Linked DNA regions of Sus scrofa. The protein of the gene in region 1 interacts with the protein of each later gene in a pairwise test. Links are inferred from orthologs where the notes say so. Each region holds a gene or a part of one and is shown in the gene's direction. Other genes may lie near its edges.

Region 1 (4,168 bases):
TCATCATCATCTCCTCTAAGTCTAACCCAGAAATGTGCTTAGCAGAATGCTATGCACATTCTGAAGTATTTAATATGTCAGTGTGTTAGACTGAAATTGTCCCTGAAAAGATTTAGGTAGGTCCCTGTGAAGAGAGTCCAAGGAAGCGCCAGAGCAGGTGCTGTATGAAATGCCGAATTCCTCTGGTGGCTGGTTCAGTAGGGATGAGATGAGCCCCCACCAGCGGATTGCCCAATCAGTAAGTAAACCTGAATGGTATGAGGTCACCTTACCTTCCTCCGCCCACCCCAAAGGAATAAATCCACCCCTTAACAGCGGCTGCCAACAGAGGAAGACAAATCCAAGCTAATCTCTTCTTTTTCCTACAAAGCAATTGCTTTGAGCCCATGGATGACATCAGCCCAGATTCCACCCGCTCAGATTCCGCCCAGGCCAATGGGTTCCTGGAATCCTGTGGCAGGTGACGCCCCAGAAAGTAATTCCAGTGAGAATGAAGTTTCCACTGAGAGCCTCAGTGCTCTTCCTTCCGGACTTTGTGTGTGGGTATTTGGGGATGCTAGGGGCGTATCCGTGTCACGCTCGGTGAAGCTAATGGGAACCCAAGCCGAATAAAGGCCAAACAAACAAGGCGGTGATAGAAGTGGGGTCCTAAGGAAAGAAGGTCCGAGAAACCCATCACACGGAGCATGGCGAGAGGAGGAGCCGATCCCCTACAGAGGGGGGAATCTAGCAGAAATCCAAGGGTGTAAATCCAAGCGTGTAAATCTCATGCTTCAGCCAAAGGGTTTGGGGAAATTTAGCGAGACTCAACCTCTCTGTGGCCACTGTAGAGTCTTCCTCAACCCGTACCCCGCCTCACCACCGAGAAACCGAGACCGGCTCTAACACCCACCCAAAGGATTTGAGATCTCCACCTCCCTTCGCCGTCCCACGCCTTTTCCCCAGGACCGGGTAGGGTTCTCTTGGCTCAGCCCAGGACCCGTCCATCCCTTCCCCTAGGGCATGGGCAGACTCGGCTCTCACCCTCCCTGGTGGCGCTTCTCCTCTCAGCTGGGTTGCAAGTCGACACCGCGCCGCCCCTAGACCACCGCTTGCCCGCCAGCAATCTCGGGCGGTAAACTCACATTCACCACCCCCGGACTCCGCCCCCAGGCGGCCAGGGCCTGAGACTGTGAGGCCGGGCAGACATAGCACCCAATCAGGGCGGAGGGAGGAGCCCCCAAGAGTATTCCGCAGCGAGCGTACACCTACTTCAGGCCGACTTTCCGGCGCAAAGACCTCTGGGTCTTGTAGGCAGCCATCCCTCTTCCCAGGCCTCTGTCTCCCAGCATGCTCTGCCAGCTGGATGGGTGTAAGTGCTTCCTGTGCCCGGAAGTGACGTTAGGCGTAAACAGGTCTTGTAGCCGTGGCAGCGGCTGAGGCAAGCTGGCTGGCTGGGTACCGGCTGCCCTGACGCGAGAGGGGAGTTGCCTGCGGACCTCAGCCTGAGCCGCAGGCGCTGCCGCTGCGGGGTGGACAGGTAGGCTGTGACTTCGGGTCGGGGATGGGCCCGGGGCAGGAAGAGCCTGACAGGCCCGCGCCCCGAGGAAAAGCAGTCCCAGGGCGAAAGAAATGTGGGAATTCCTCCCGACTCTGGGAGCGGTTTTACCCGGGCTTGGGCCTCGAGCTTTTCGCTCTGACGCTCGCAACCCTCCTAGGAGGAAACTGCGGCTCAGATAAGTTCAAGGAGTTTACGTAGTGAAGACAACCAGCCCCATCACCCAGCTTTTCCTAACTTTCTCCACACCGCGCGGGTGGAGGTAGCGGCCAGCGTAGAGCCAGAGCCAGGGTGGTGGTGGGGATGGTGGGGGGACGAGAGCGCGACGTCCTTCTCATCTTCAGGGAACTCAATTCGGCCTTTATACCCAGTGTTCCTCAGATGAGCGTGCGGTGGGAGTTGGGAGAGAATCCGGTAGTCGGCTGCGAACCCTCTCTCTCCACTTCTTCAGGCCCGATCCATCTCATTCAACCATCCCTTCCAACCATACATCTGGCTCAAGCCAGATGCATGGGAATCTTACCTGACTCTCCTTCACTCCTCTCCAAACCCCTACTTTCATTCATCCTTTACTAAGTCCTATCAACTCGACTTTACCAAACAATTCGGAACACTTTCCTTCAGCTCCAAGCCTTGGTTACTGTAATAGCCTGCTCTGGTGTTTTTGTTTTTCTTGCCTCTTTTTAGGGCCGCACTCGCCGCATATGGAGATTCCCAGGCTAGGGGCTGAATCGAAGCTACAGCTGCCGGCCTACACCACAGCCACACCAGATCGGATCTGCCACCTACACCACAGCTCACCTCAACACGTGGGATCCTTAACCCAATGAGAGGGGCCAGGGATCTAACCCTCAACCTCATGGTTCCTAGTCAGATTGGTTTCTGCTGCGCCACAATGGGAACTCCTAGCCTGCTCTGTTTTAGCAGTCATTCATACCACAAACATTTGCTGAGTGCAAGTTCTATGCAGGCACTATGCTAGATGCTAGGGTAGCAGTGATGAACAAATAGGAGTAGCCCCATCTCTTTTCCCCCCCAGCTCGTTCTCCATCCTGGGTCATTGATCTCCAAAATAGCCACATTTGATGATGCCAGTCTGCTTAGAATCCTCTGGCTACCTTTATGAGAAAATGTAGGCTCAATACCGCAGCTTTCAGAGCCCTTCATCATCCAGTGCTAGCCTCCCCATCTTGCCCCATCTCATTCTCTCCCCCTTGCTCAGTGTTTCAACCATACTAGCCTTTCAGCTTGTGGAACACGTTAAATTTTTTACAGCCTCAGAGTCTTCCAGTCTTCACACAAGCTTTCCCTTCTGCCTGGAATACCTCCTCCTTGCTTCAGTTGGCAAGCTTTTGAACATCCTTTAGGTCTCATTTTAAGTGTCACTTCTTTTCTTTCTATGGCTGCACCTGTGACATATGGAAGTTCCCAGAGCTAGGGGTGGAATCCGAGCTGCAGCTGAGGCCTATGCCTGCAGCCATGGCAACATGGGATCCAGGCTGCATCTGTGATCCCATTGCTGGGGATCCTTAACTCACTGAGCAAGGCCAGGGGTCGAACCTGCAACCTCACAGAGACAACGTCAGGTTCTTAACCCGCTGAGCCACAACAGGAACTCCCAAATGTCACATTTTAGAAGAATTTTGTGTATAAATTTTTATGTAATTTTGTTTACATATGAATTATGTCCTCCTGCTATGGCTTCACATAGCAACATGTGCTTTTCCTCATACCATGATCACAGTTTGTGATTGGACCGTCTGTCCAGAGGTCAGAAACTAAAGAATTAAGGCATTTTCTTCACTCCTTTATCCCCAGAGCAGGGACTCAGTAGATGTTTGTGAATAAATCCACGCTCTTAGAAGGGAGTGGAAGTGGAAGCACCTTTGTGCGCGCAGATTACTTGAAGCTTTCTAGAGCAGCTGGTCTGGTAAATCACCTGTTAGGTGTTAGTGTTCAGACTATATGTGTAACTAGGACAAATGGGGAGACAGTTCTTTTTATTTTTATTTATTTTTTTAATGTGCTTCTCTCAGCGCCTTTCACCAGACCTTGACTTGTGTTGTGGTCTAAGCAAAACTGAGCTTCCTATTCTAACATCTTTTGTTACATATTTAAGATAAGTTTACAGTTCCTAATGGAATTCCTGTCGTGGCGCAGTGGTTAACGAATCCGACTAGGAACCATGAGGTTGAGGGTTCGATCCCTGGCCTTGCTCAGTGGGTTAAGGATCCAGCATTGCTGTGAGCTGTGGTGTAGGTTGCAGATGTGGCTCAGATCCTGCGTTGCTATGGCTCTTGTGTAGGCCAGCAGATACAGCTCCGATTGGACCCCTATCCTGGGAACTTCCATATGCCGCGGGAGTGGCCCTAGAAAAGGCAAAAAGACAAAAAAAAAGGTGACAGTGCTTTTTAAAAAGCCCAATTATAAGGAAGCTTTGGATGATTAAAATGTTTTAAAGGGAAGATGCTAGCTTACTTACTTGAGTGGATTCCAGTGAGGCTAAAGGCTCTGGACCACAGTCGTGTACAGCCAGACGCGTATAAGTTGGACCACACGGTGTTGGATGTGTTTTTCCCTCCCTTACTTAAACTTTTTGAATTAGAAGGAAATCAGTGTTTCCTACCCAGA
Region 2 (4,069 bases), on another chromosome or scaffold:
TTTTTTTGTTAGGTAAACCATTTACATTTTCAAAAACTATAAGAGGTGTTTATACTGCAGAGTCTTCATCCATCTCCTTGCCACCCAATTCATCTTTTCAGAGGCAACCAAAGCTGGAGTTCCCGTCATGGCTCAGTGGTTAATGAATCCGACTAGGAACCATGAGGTTGCAGGGTTCCATCCCTGGCCTCTCTCAGTGAGTTAAGGATCCGGAGTTGCCGTGAGCTGTGGTGTAGGTCACAGACGTGGCTTGGATCTGGTGTTGCTGTGGCTCAGGTGTAGGCCAGCAGCAATAGCTCCGATTGGACCCCTAGCCTGGGAACCTCCATATGCCTCGGGTGCCACCTTAGAAAAGACAAAAAACAAAAACAGAGGCAACCACTGCTATTCATTTTTAAAATGTATCTTTCCAGGAATATTGTATATGAATGTGGGTAATTATATATTCAGGCCCTCCTTTTTTCCCAAATTGTAGAATACCATGTACTGTGCTCTAAATTGTGTTTGTATCATTTACTTTTAAGATCTTTCTTTTCTGTACCTGAAGAGCTTGAGTGTTCCCACTGCATAGCTGAATAGTATTCCTTTGTATGAATGCAACTATTTAAGCAAACTGAGGTTTGTTTCGAATCATTTGTTATAAAAAATGCTGGAACAGGTAACCTTGCAGGCCACTAATTTTGCCAAATCATTTACAAGATCAATTCCTAGAAACAGCATTGCTAGATCCAAGGACAACTATGATTTTGATAGACACAATGGTTTGTTTTTATTTTTATTAAAGTTATACAAGCATATAAATAGAAGAATCAAATAATTCTACAAAGTTTCTACTAAGAATTCTAAAACAAAACGAAACAGAAACACCCAAAGCTACTTGGATATCATTCTCAGAGGCACTTTTAGCCTGTTTTTTTTTTTTTTTTCCCACTACTACCCCACGGCTCTAAGTGACAAACAAGCTGTTTCGTGAGTTTTCAGTTTTGATAACCACTGACTCTCCACTGGGAAGAACGAGGATTTAGCTTTCTCTGCTACCCTGCCTTCATTGCACACTTGTAGTCAGCCTTTTGCGCATCTTCTCCAAGAGTCCTCGGGCCGCACGCCGGGGTGAGCTTTCCAGCGTGTCACGCTGGTTGTGACGCCCCACGCCGCGTGGAGCCGCCAGGTCCCGGAAGCTAGCCAGCCAGGGGCGTTCCCTCTCCATCCTCCGCCCCCTACGCTTTTCGAACGTTCCGGCCTCTTAGGCTGGGTCAGAAAGGGGCGGAACTCCGTACTCCTGGCGCGGTTTCCCTGCCGGATCGAAAAGCCAAGCGCACCAAGTGTCGCGGGAGCAGGCCCGCAGCAGCACCTTGGTCCCCTGCTCCCGCGACATGGCTTTCAACTTTGCGGCTCCCTCGGGCAGCTCAGGTACCGCTGCAGCCACCGCAGCCCCCGCGGGTGAGTCATTCCCCCCAGACCTTCTCCCGGGGAAAAGGGGAGGCCTTGGGTCCGAGACTCTTGAGCTTGGGGGAACCTGGGGTCTCCTGCCCGCGCGCAGATTTTAGGGGCTTTGGAAAAGGCAGGCGGCGGCCGAGCGGGCCGAGACGGCTCCTGAGGAGGCCACGCGGGGGATAGAGGCCCAGCTGGGAGCTCGCGTGCATCGGGTGGGTCCCCGCATGGCCCACCCCTTCTAGCGCTCGCTTCCCGCCACCGGGGAGACGGATTCCAAGAGGCTGGAGGCGGCTCCTCGCTCCCTTTGCCGGGCCCGCCCTCTCATCCCCTCCCCTTCCCGGGCTCCGGGACCGGCGGGCGCGCTCGGGTGCTTCCCGCTGCTGGGCGGCGAGGGTAGCGCTGGAGAACCTCCGGGCTGCTCTGCGGCTCCCTCGGCCCTGGCCCCTCTGGCTCTTGCTGCGGGACTGCACGTACCTGCTCCTTCTCCTGCCCCGCCTCCTCCGCTTTCTTAATTCGTTTGGAGCCAAGTCAGGGTTTGTCTTTGTTCACTCTGTGAAACCTCCTGCTGACTCTTCTAATCCTTATCTTGCTTTCTTTTCTTTTTCTTCTTCCTTCTTTCCCCTCTCCCCTTTTAAAATTTTCTTTGCCTACACGCCTATCAGGATTTGGTGGGCTTGAGACTGCCAACTCCACCGCCAGTGGGTTTAATTTTGGGGGTTTCGGATTAACTGCTAATCCTGCAGTGAACTTTAATATTGGGAATTTCGGTGTTTCTACTACTTCGGCGACTCCTTTCAATTTTGGTAACAGTCTGGCAAGTGCAGGTAGATATGCGGGCCGTCTGTGTAACGAATGTTGGGAGCTGGAGTCCAAGAATATTTTGTAGTTGCTAGAGTTTGGGAAAGAACAGTGACTTGTCTAATAAGGAAAGGAAATTAGTTTCCTAATGTCGATTTAAAAACATTTGTATCAAGTTTTGACTCTTAAAAAGATTTGATTTTGAGAAACCTTTCAAGTTATTATCTTCGTCTGTTAAATTTGCATTTAATTGAACAGACTGTACCTTCCAAGTGATAAGAATTTGGAGTACGTTATTATTGGGAATAGAATACATCTTCCAAATTATTAGATATCTCTTTTAAAGTATAAGATCAACAGTCAGACCCATTTTCCTGAAATTCTTGGACTTCTGCGGTCGTTTTTTTCTCCACTTTTCCTGCACCTTTCATTGGAATTTCATTTGATTGTCTTTGTGTTTCCTGAGAGAAACAAGTCTTATACGAACAGCAGCAACCTGTCTTGTTTTTTAACCTGTGTAACAATAATTATTTTTTTGGTCAACTAAGCAGATGAGGATACATTTCTATAAGATAATGTAATTATTGAAAGAACCTCCAAGTCTTAAGTGGATTTTTTGAGAAGTGATCAGAGAGTATCTTAATTTGTCAGATAACATTGAGTTCTAAAAGGTAGGCTAGACATCTTTGCACTCAAAAAGCTAATTATGAAGATTTTGGTAACTATATGGATTGTTTGAAGCTCATTGCAAATTGTGCAAAATACAAACTATTCTCTGTGTGTGTATATTTATTTATATACATAAATTTAAAACAGGTATGTGTACCTCGCCTACAGTGACCCTATAGAAAAAGTCTTGTTCCTCAGCTGCTCGTATATGAATTTATTGTCCATATTCTCTTACATTCCACTGTGTATGCCCATGCCAATTATATGCATTTGGTAAACATGTCTTTTCCATGAGACTTATTTGAGAAATTTGGCATTTTGTGCAATCACTTTTTTTTTTTTTTGCAATTTGCATTCAATTTGAAAAAGTTTTGAAGGATACTTGAAAATTCCAAAGATGAAATAATCCATTATCATTAAGGTATATTTAAAATGATCACACATCACTGTTGTTTGGTATGTTTACTTTCCCCTCTTTGCTTAAAATTGGCACTGGGTAAAAGAGAAACATTGTTTTGAAATTTATGTTTCCAAACAAACCTACCCAGCTCTTGATTCAACAATAAATAAACCTTTGGTATTTGCTTGATTTCATGTTCATTTGGAGTTATTACTGTTCAGTTCTGAGTTGCGATAATATAACTGTGTTTTAACGACTTTTATGTACATTAACTTAGTCTTCAGCAATAGGACTGATAGACATTCTTGTTTACTTTTTTTTATCCTTGCAGATCCATTATTACTAATAAACATTTTTCGTATTAGGAGTATGTTAGGATAGTTACTAATGTTTTTATTGCATAGCCAATTCAGAATATATCTTAGTTTTTCTATGAAATTTATAAGTAATGAAAAAGATTAGGAACAATGTTCAGTATGTTAGGTGGTACTTATCAAATTGTTTACAATTTGTAGTATTGCAGTAGAACCTACAAGTAGTAGAATATTTGGTTGTGCCTGCATGCAACATGTAGTCTATTCTTGAATAATTTTCTAAGACAGAATTATGTGATTACCACCAATGGGTTGAGTCTTCATTTTCCTTCTTATATTTTGTGTTACAATATTGACAAATCTGTCTCTTATGCCAGAAATACATGAGATTAAAGGTTAGAATCCCAGAAGTCTGTGGCATAACTCAGGGAGCACTAATGGTTCAAACATTTGT
Region 3 (4,011 bases), on another chromosome or scaffold:
AAAAATAGGAACTCAATGCTAATGATTTCCCTCACCTAAGAACCAATTCATGAAGAAATTAAATAAGTGATTTTCTAGTTACAGGCTCTGAAAATATAACTATTATTTTTGTTTTTGCTTTTTAGGGCCACACTTGCGGCATATGGAGGTTCCCAGGCTAGGGGTCTAATCAGAGCTACAGCTGCCAGCCTACACCCACAGCCACAGCAACACCAGACCCAAAGCACATCTGTGACCTACACCACAGCTCACAGCAACACTGGATCCTTAAGCCACTGAGCGAGGATCGAACCCACAACCCCATGGTTCCTAGTTCCAGATTCGTTTCCACTGCACCACGATGGGAACTCCTGAAAACATAACTACTGAAAAATGCTTTAAGACCTTTTAATTTAACAGATATGTTATATGCAGGTGGGATTCATGGACTCTGCCTTTTTAAATCAGTATTCGTTACAATTTACTTCTTTTGTCTCCAAAATGCACTACAGTAATTGAAATCTGGTAATCCATTTCCAATGAGAGAAAGCCTGGAGAAAGGACACGGGTATTTCAGAGGATTTCAGGAAGATGACCAAGACTTCTAGCTATAGATTGTTTTTAACAGCCCTGGAAATTCAGTTATTATGTTGTGAGTGGCACTGCCTTCAGGAGCTATGGAAGAGTGATGAAGAGTATCATCAAGAATCCTAGGAGGCAATGAGAAAGTCCCACTCTTCCGTTAACTAGAATTATATCTCACAGAATTATACTTGTCTTTTCTTTTTTTAAGAAACCAAACCACTTTGGAGAATTTCTGTTAATTGGCCAATTTTAGATAAGTTAATATTTTTATAGTTCTATAGATACATATACTCAACCTGATTAAATTAGGGCCCAGGGGCCAATCTGGCACTTAGTATGTTAAAAATAACAACAAAAACAAACTATATATATATTTTATTAACGAATGCCTCAGCTGCCTTATACGAGAGACAACACTAAGCAGAGGGATAACCTCAAACAGTCGGGATGCTTTACTTTTCCCCGCCCCATTTTTAAAATCTTGCGAGAAGAGAATTTCACCCTTTCTAGACTCGGCGCTCTTCGTCCGACGTCACAATCCGGAACTAAAACTACCAATCCCAGAATGCCTTGCGAAGGGGTGGGCTCTCCGGAAGCCGCCGAGTGATTGGCGAGAGGAGGCGTTTCCTTCCGGCGGGAAGAACCCGGGAGGCGGGGACTGGGGGGAGGTGTTCGTAAGCTATTACCGGGTTGGGCTGGCCTGGTCGGGGAGGGGTGTGTGGGTGAACCCTGTGTCCCGTGCCCGCTGAGGAGATGGATGAGGATGGGCTTCCTCTCATGGGGTCAGGCATAGACCTGACTAAGGTTTGTAAAAGATGGAGTTGAACTCAGGTGACCTGGGAGGAGGATGGGGAAGGGACGCCGGGTTCCCAGGGAGACCACATCTCTCTAAGCCCAACGCTGTCCTAGGCCTGTCTCATCTCTCTCCGGAGGGAGAGTCCCATAGTTTGCCCTTTAAAGAGGTCCCTCCTGAGGTAAGGAAGGGCGGGGGCAGTGTAGTGTACCTCTCCCAGGCTTCGCTTCCCAGGTCACGAGTCCCTGTCCTCAAGGGTGAACCACTGGCGACACGGGCCAGTTCCGATTTCTAACCCTACCTCTTTTATTCGGCCCTTAAGGTTTTCGTGTGTTTACGTGTTGCCTATACCTGCGGAAGTTCGCTCTTGTGAATCCAGAGCCCTTTCTCAAACTTTGCAGCATCTGTCATCTTTGAACACCCCACCCCCACAGGTTAGGAAAACAAGTTAATGACTATTGGCAGAACTTCCAGTAACTCATATCACACAGAGAAACGCCCCTTTATTAATATCGAGGGGATTGCACGGTGTACCTTCCTCCTGTACGGATCATGTTTATTTTTACGCAACACAGGTGCCAGCTATTCAACAGAAAAGAACGGTGGCATTTCTAAACCAATTTGTGGTGCACACTGTACAGTTCCTCAACCGCTTTTCTACAGTTTGTGAGGAGGTAGGTCCAGTGGTGTTGGTCTAATGTGTAGCCCAGATATCACCTCGCACTTTTGAAGGTAGCAAATGACTAAAACAAGATTTACAGTCTGTGTATTCATATACCGTGACCTCTTCTCACCCAATTATTATGTTAATATACCTTAAATCCTCTTTGGTTCTATTACCGTCTTCCTGCAGCCCATCTCTGCTGAATTAAACTTCTGAGACTTTTGTGAAGCAGTTCACTAAGGCTTACTGTAATTGAAGATAATAATTGTATTTCACAGTTAAAGACATTTTTTATTTTGAAATTGGTTATGTTTCTCCTACCTCAAAGATTTACGTTTTAGGTGTACATTATTTTACATTGCTTGATCCAAAAGATGATTGAGGAGGTAGCCTAGAAATGTAACTTTGGCATCAAATATCATCATGGAAATAAAAGTAAAAATACGGAGTTCCCTGGTGGTGCAGTGGGTTAAGGACCAGGCCTTGTCACTGCTGTGGCTCATGTTTGATCCCTGGCTCTGGAACTTTTTTATGCCAGAGGTGAGGCCAAAAAAAAAAAATAATAAATAAAATACTTTGTGCATATGACTTATGAAGTAAGGATAAAGTAGCTCAGTTACAGATTAGGTACCAGATCTAGGGACGACTGTCTTATAAAAAGCTAAAAAAGAGAATGGGTTGAAATTAGGTTTAAGAAGGAAGAAAGGGGACAAGGAAATGTTTTGAAACCAAAAGATGGTGTTTTTGCTCAGTTTTCTTTACTTCTTGAGGATTGCGTCAAAACCTAGGGCCCCGTTTTGTTGTCATGAACCACCTGAGTGCTGAAGTTACTGTTCACCCTTTGACTGAGTATCCTCCCCAGTCAAATCCTTGAATTGAAACTGTTCTTGTAGAGGAATTGTTGCTGCCTGAAAGGTGTAAGAGTCAAGATTGTTGTCATTGGGAACAGGATACACATATACACTTTAATGTTAAAGAAAACCCCCCCATTGGTATCATGGTATTTCTCTATGCTTGCAAATTCTACTTTCCAAAAGTTCAGTGACCACTTAAAGCTAAATACGCTTTTAGGGATGATTTAAACAGAAATTAAAATGATTTCATTAAGAAGTCAAGGTCTGGGAGTTCCCGTTGTGGCGCAGTGGTTAACGAATCCTACTGGGAACCATGAGGTTGCGGGTTCGGTCCCTGCCCTTGCTCAGTGGGTTAACGATCCGGCGTTGCCGTGAGCTGTGGTGTAGGTTGCAGACGCGGCTCAGATCCCGCGTTGCTGTGGCTCTGGCGTAGGCCGGTGGCTACAGTTCCGATTCAACCCCTAGCCTGGGAACCTCCATATGCTGCGGGAGCGGCCCAAGAAATCGCAACAACAACAACAACAAAGACAAAAAAAAAAAAAAAAGAAGTCAAGGTCTGGAGTTCCCTTGGGGCACAGCAATTTAAGGATCTGGTACTGTCACTGTCTGGCTTGTGGCGCTGCTGCGGCATGGGTTTAATCCCTGAAAAAAAAACAAACAAACAAAAAAAATCAAGGCCTGCTTCATGAAATACCGTGAGAATACCTAGAGACTTCCCAGTCCTAGCCATTCTCCTACTTTTTGTACAATATGTGATGTATCTCCATTCCAGTTGCATTTTGATTGACACAATAAAAATGTTTCCAAGAAGTTAACTAGTAAATACCAATTTTTGTCAGTTGAATTATTGTTAACTTGTGCTTGTGAAGCTATTGTAAAAATCTTATTAATTTTTGAAAATCAAATAAACCCACCCCCCCAAAAAAAAAGAGAAAAGAGGAAAATGTGATAATCACAGCTGAGTCAGTTAAACAATATTTAGTTCGTTATGTCTTATATATAACATAAGGTAGGGAATCAGCATATAGTTTTTGTTAGATATGTTATTAATAAAAATTGCATGGAGCCAGGAAAACTGTTTTCGTCTGTATAAGATTCCAGCTGTTCTTTTGTCTAGTTATCAAAATCACTTCTGC
Region 4 (4,057 bases), about 39 Mb from region 1:
CTCTTGCTTCCTCCCTATCCCCCACCCCCCAGAAAGAGCATCCCTGAGAGTTGGGCAGTTGGGGCCTCTAGGCGACCCTCACATTTGTGCTCTGAACAAGTTTGGGAATGAAAGCCAAGCAACCGAGGCTGCAGCTGAAACACCGCTTTCTCCTTTGGCTGAAGCAGCTTGTGCTGAGTATAGTTAGGGAATCACAGCTTTTACCAAATCAGTGTCCACTGCCAACAGCATGTGCCTGACATTGGGCTGGGAATCACCGAAACTGGTCTTTTCATTCTTTTATTTATTTATTTAATTTTTCTTCTTTTGGTCTTTTTAGGGCCGCACCCACAGTATATGGAGGTTCCCAGGCTCGGGGTCGGGGACAGAGTGCTCACCCATGGCCCCAACAGCATCTGAAACCATAATCCTGACTTGTGAGCCACCCAGCCCGGCCAGGGTGTCTGCTTTGGAGAGGGCTGTGTGGTTTTACTGGCGGGGTTGGTGAGGACCAGGCTGTGGGTAGAGAACTATAAGTCTGCAAACAGTGCAAGGCGAAGCCTGAGAGATCTGAGACCTGTCTAAGGGCTTGGGGCCCAGGGTGGTGGTGTCCTTAGGGAGAGACTGAGGCATGCATGCATTCAGACACACGGGGAGCATTTCTCACGGGCCTTGGAGGAAATCAGAAAGCCTTGGTTCCTGCGGCTGCCGGAATGTCTCAACTCCTTGGCGGGGTCTCCTCTAAATACAGCTTGGGGGCGTGGCCGGGGGTGGGGTTGGGAGAGGGTAGGGGACTGGTTCAAGGTTACTGCAGGTACGTATGCTCTGGATCCACTGCAAAACCTAGTTACTTGCACACTGGGCCTGTTCCGTGAGCTTTTAGGGCCAAAGAGGGACACTACACAGGTCCTTGGTTCATTAAATGGGCACAATTGGGTATCTAGTGTGTGACAAGCTCTGTGCTGCGTTTTGTGGGAAAGGCGACATTGGTGCCTGGATTCAGACTTCGATCTGGAGAAAGGAGTTCGTCATTGATTTTGTGAAAGGCGTAAACCTTCCCCCGAAGACGGCCAAGTGAGCTGTTACTGTTCTGCCAGCGACAGGACAAAACACCACCCAAGAACCTTCTCTGATGAGAACAGCAATCCCTTCACCTAGGAGAATCCAGGCCACACCTCCCTGCCACACTCAAGATGGCCACTCCAGACCGCTGTACTGAGTTCTACGCAGGCGCACTTCCACCTGCCACTCCCAATATGGCACCACTAGCGCGCCCCGGGGCGGGGCCACGGGCGGAAGTAGGTGTGACAGGAACGGGAGCCGAGAGGGTCAGCTGGGACGAGGTACTGGGCAGTGGGAGTCGCAGAGTCGAAGCCATGATCCCCCCGCAGGAGGCGTCCGCCCGGCGGCGGGAGATCGAGGACAAGCTGAAGCAGGTGGGGCTGGCACTGGGAGGCGGGGGAGGGGAAGGGGCCGAGATCCGGGCCAGGCATCCACTCAGGGAGGCGTCAGGAGTGGGAAGGGGACACTCCCTGCCAGGAGACTGAGTAGGGGGCGAGACCACGGGAGCGGTGAGCTCCTTTAGCCTCCGGCTTCTGGTGATGTCCTCCTTTGCGCTCCCCCCAGGAGGAGGAGACGCTGTCCTTCATCCGAGACAGTCTGGAGAAGAGCGACCAGCTCACCAAGAACATGGTGAGTAACCCCTCCTCAGCTGGGGGGGCTTCCAGGCGCTGGAGGAGACCCTGCGACCCGGTCGTGCCTGGACCTAAGGGCTGGGGTTCTGGTCTGGGTAGTGACAGCCGTGACGCGTGGGTTTCTCCCGCAGCAGTGTGGCACGTCTCTTACCCCTTGTCAGCCCCTTGGCCTCAGATGCTGCAGTCCCCGCTGGCCTGGACTTTCTGATCTCTGCCTAAGTTCTCCATGCTTCCTTCTCTCCTCTGCAAACACTTAGTGAGACTGACCTAAGTGGGTTGGATGCTGGCCATGTGTCACCCTCAATTCAAGTGAGGGTAGGATGGCCAGGTTACCACTTCTTTTTTTTTTTTTTTGTCTTTTGTCTTTTTGTTTTTGTTGTTGTTGTTGTTATTGTTGCTATTTCTTGGGCCGCTCCCGCGGCATATGGAGGTTCCCAGGCTAGGGGTCCAATCGCAGCTGTAGCCACCGGCCTACGCCAGAGCCACAGCAACGCGGGATCCGAGCCGCGTCTGCAACCTACACCACAGCTCACGGCAACGCCGGATCGTTAACCCACTGAGCAAGGGCAGGGACCGAACCCGCAACCTCCTGGTTCTTAGTCGGATTCGTTAACCACTGCGCCACGACGGGAACTCCATTTTTTTTTTTTTTTAACGCAGTGAATTTTATTACGTTTATAGTTGTACAACGATCATCACAACCAAATTTTATAGCATTTCCATCCCAAACCCCCAGCCCATCCCTCCACCCCCAACCTGTCTCCTTTGGCAACCGTAAGTTTTTCCAAGTCTGCGAGTCAGCATCTGTTCTGCAAAGAAGTTCATTGTGTGCTTTTTTTAGATTCCACACATAAGTGAGAGCATTTGATGTGGGTGTCTCACTGTCTGACTCACTTCACGTAGCATGATCATTTCTAGGTCCATCCATGTTGTTGCAAATGCCGTTCTTTCTTTCCTTTTAACGGCTGAGTAATATTCCATGGTGTATATGTACCACATCTTCGTTATCCACTCCTCTGTCCATGGACATTTAGGTTGTTTCCATGTCTTGGTTATTGTGTATAGTGCTGCAGTGCACATTGGAGTACAAGTATCTTTTCGAGTCATGGTTTTCTCTGGATAGATGCCCAGGAGTGGCAGGTTACCCCTTCTGAGATTACTGACTCACCTTTCACTCCAGAGGGCTTGAGGGGTAAAATGAGCTCTGAAGTCAGATCTGGGATCTAGTCCTTGCCCCTCCACTTGTCCGCGTATAGCTTGCTGACAGGTAACTCTGATCCTCAGTTAACTTGTCAGCTGAAACAGAGATGATGCCAGCCTCCCATAGCTCTGAAGGTCACAGAAGCTAGTGCAAAGGGACGTGTCAATAAGTATGAGTTTCTTCCTTATTCCTAGAGGAGACTGGAAAAACATAGGCTGTTTAGTAACACAGTCAGCAACTGCTAGTTCTTTCTTTTTTTCTTTTTGTCTTTTCTAGGGCCGCTCCTGTGGCACATGGAGGTTCCCAGGCTAGGGGTCGAATCGGAGCTGCAGCTGCTGGCCTACCCACAGCCACAGCCACAGCCACACCAGATCCCAGCCTCATCTGCGACCTACACCGCAGCTCATGGCAACGCCGGATCCTTAACCCACTGAGCAAGGCAGGGACCGAACCCGCAACCTCATGGTTCCTAGTCAGATTCGTTAACCACTGCGCCATCACGGGAACTCCTGCTAGTTCTTATTTAATGAGATTCACCCTTAGAAAGGGTTAGGAAGGTACCAGCAATGCATTTGAGGCTACTCTGTATGAAACTACTTCCTGTTCAGTCTAGAACGCTCCAGAGAGAATAGAAATTGAGCTTTGGCTTCGGAGGGTGGACGAGAAGCATTCTGAAGTGATTATCTGCGGAGGAATTAATTTCATGCCTGGCTTGCCTTCACATTAATTGATGTGGGCTACCTCCTGTGTGCCGGGCACGCGGTAGCTGCTGGGGATTCAGTGGGGAAGAGATGTCCCCCGTCCCTTCCCTCATGGGCCTGGTTGTCTAGAAAACCGTAGAAAAAGGCAGCAAATGCCAAAGACCCGGTGGGTGGCAGAAGCGGCTTGGGGACCACCCGGCGGTCTGCGAGCACGGGGCTGCCCTCCCCCTGCAGGTGTCTATCCTGTCGTCCTTTGAGAGTCGCCTCATGAAGCTGGAGAATTCCATCATCCCCGTGCACAAACAGACGGAGAACCTGCAGCGGCTGCAGGAGAATGTTGAGAAGACGCTGTCCTGTCTGGACCACGTCATTAGCTACTACCATGTGGCCAGTGACACTGAGAGGATCATCAGGGAGGGGTGAGCCAGGGCCGGAGGGTCACCTGCCTAACGCCTCCGGGCCAGCCACCCCAGGCCTTGGAA

What was found. The genes of interacting proteins can lie anywhere in the genome.
Region 2: the proteins of IFT20 (region 1) and NUP54 interact in binary tests that used the Homo sapiens proteins (3 or more experiments, as listed by UniProt). The two-hybrid records come from large-scale screens. The link is inferred for Sus scrofa from reciprocal best matches to the Homo sapiens genes IFT20 and NUP54.
Region 3: the proteins of IFT20 (region 1) and WASHC3 interact in binary tests that used the Homo sapiens proteins (3 or more experiments, as listed by UniProt). The two-hybrid records come from large-scale screens. The link is inferred for Sus scrofa from reciprocal best matches to the Homo sapiens genes IFT20 and WASHC3.
Region 4: the proteins of IFT20 (region 1) and EXOC7 interact in binary tests that used the Homo sapiens proteins (3 or more experiments, as listed by UniProt). The two-hybrid records come from large-scale screens. The link is inferred for Sus scrofa from reciprocal best matches to the Homo sapiens genes IFT20 and EXOC7.

Annotation. Positions count from the first base shown.
Region 1 is NC_010454.4:44,613,884-44,618,051, reverse strand, and holds the start of IFT20 (intraflagellar transport protein 20 homolog), read left to right. Parts: upstream 1-1,368; 5' UTR 1,369-1,519; intron 1,520-4,168. UniProt on the Homo sapiens protein: Part of intraflagellar transport (IFT) particles involved in ciliary process assembly. May play a role in the trafficking of ciliary membrane proteins from the Golgi complex to the cilium.
Region 2 is NC_010450.4:71,830,372-71,834,440, reverse strand, and holds the start of NUP54 (nucleoporin p54), read left to right. Parts: upstream 1-1,269; 5' UTR 1,270-1,373; coding exon 1,374-1,440; intron 1,441-2,096; coding exon 2,097-2,258; intron 2,259-4,069. UniProt on the Homo sapiens protein: Component of the nuclear pore complex, a complex required for the trafficking across the nuclear membrane.
Region 3 is NC_010447.5:82,154,062-82,158,072, forward strand, and holds the start of WASHC3 (WASH complex subunit 3), read left to right. Parts: upstream 1-1,211; 5' UTR 1,212-1,317; coding exon 1,318-1,368; intron 1,369-1,679; exon of another isoform or gene 1,680-1,791; intron 1,792-1,932; coding exon 1,933-2,031; intron 2,032-4,011. UniProt on the Homo sapiens protein: Acts as a component of the WASH core complex that functions as a nucleation-promoting factor (NPF) at the surface of endosomes, where it recruits and activates the Arp2/3 complex to induce actin polymerization, playing a key role in the fission of tubules that serve as transport intermediates during endosome sorting.
Region 4 is NC_010454.4:5,330,238-5,334,294, forward strand, and holds the start of EXOC7 (exocyst complex component 7), read left to right. Parts: upstream 1-1,257; 5' UTR 1,258-1,355; coding exon 1,356-1,415; intron 1,416-1,605; coding exon 1,606-1,671; intron 1,672-3,809; coding exon 3,810-3,994; intron 3,995-4,057. UniProt on the Homo sapiens protein: Component of the exocyst complex involved in the docking of exocytic vesicles with fusion sites on the plasma membrane.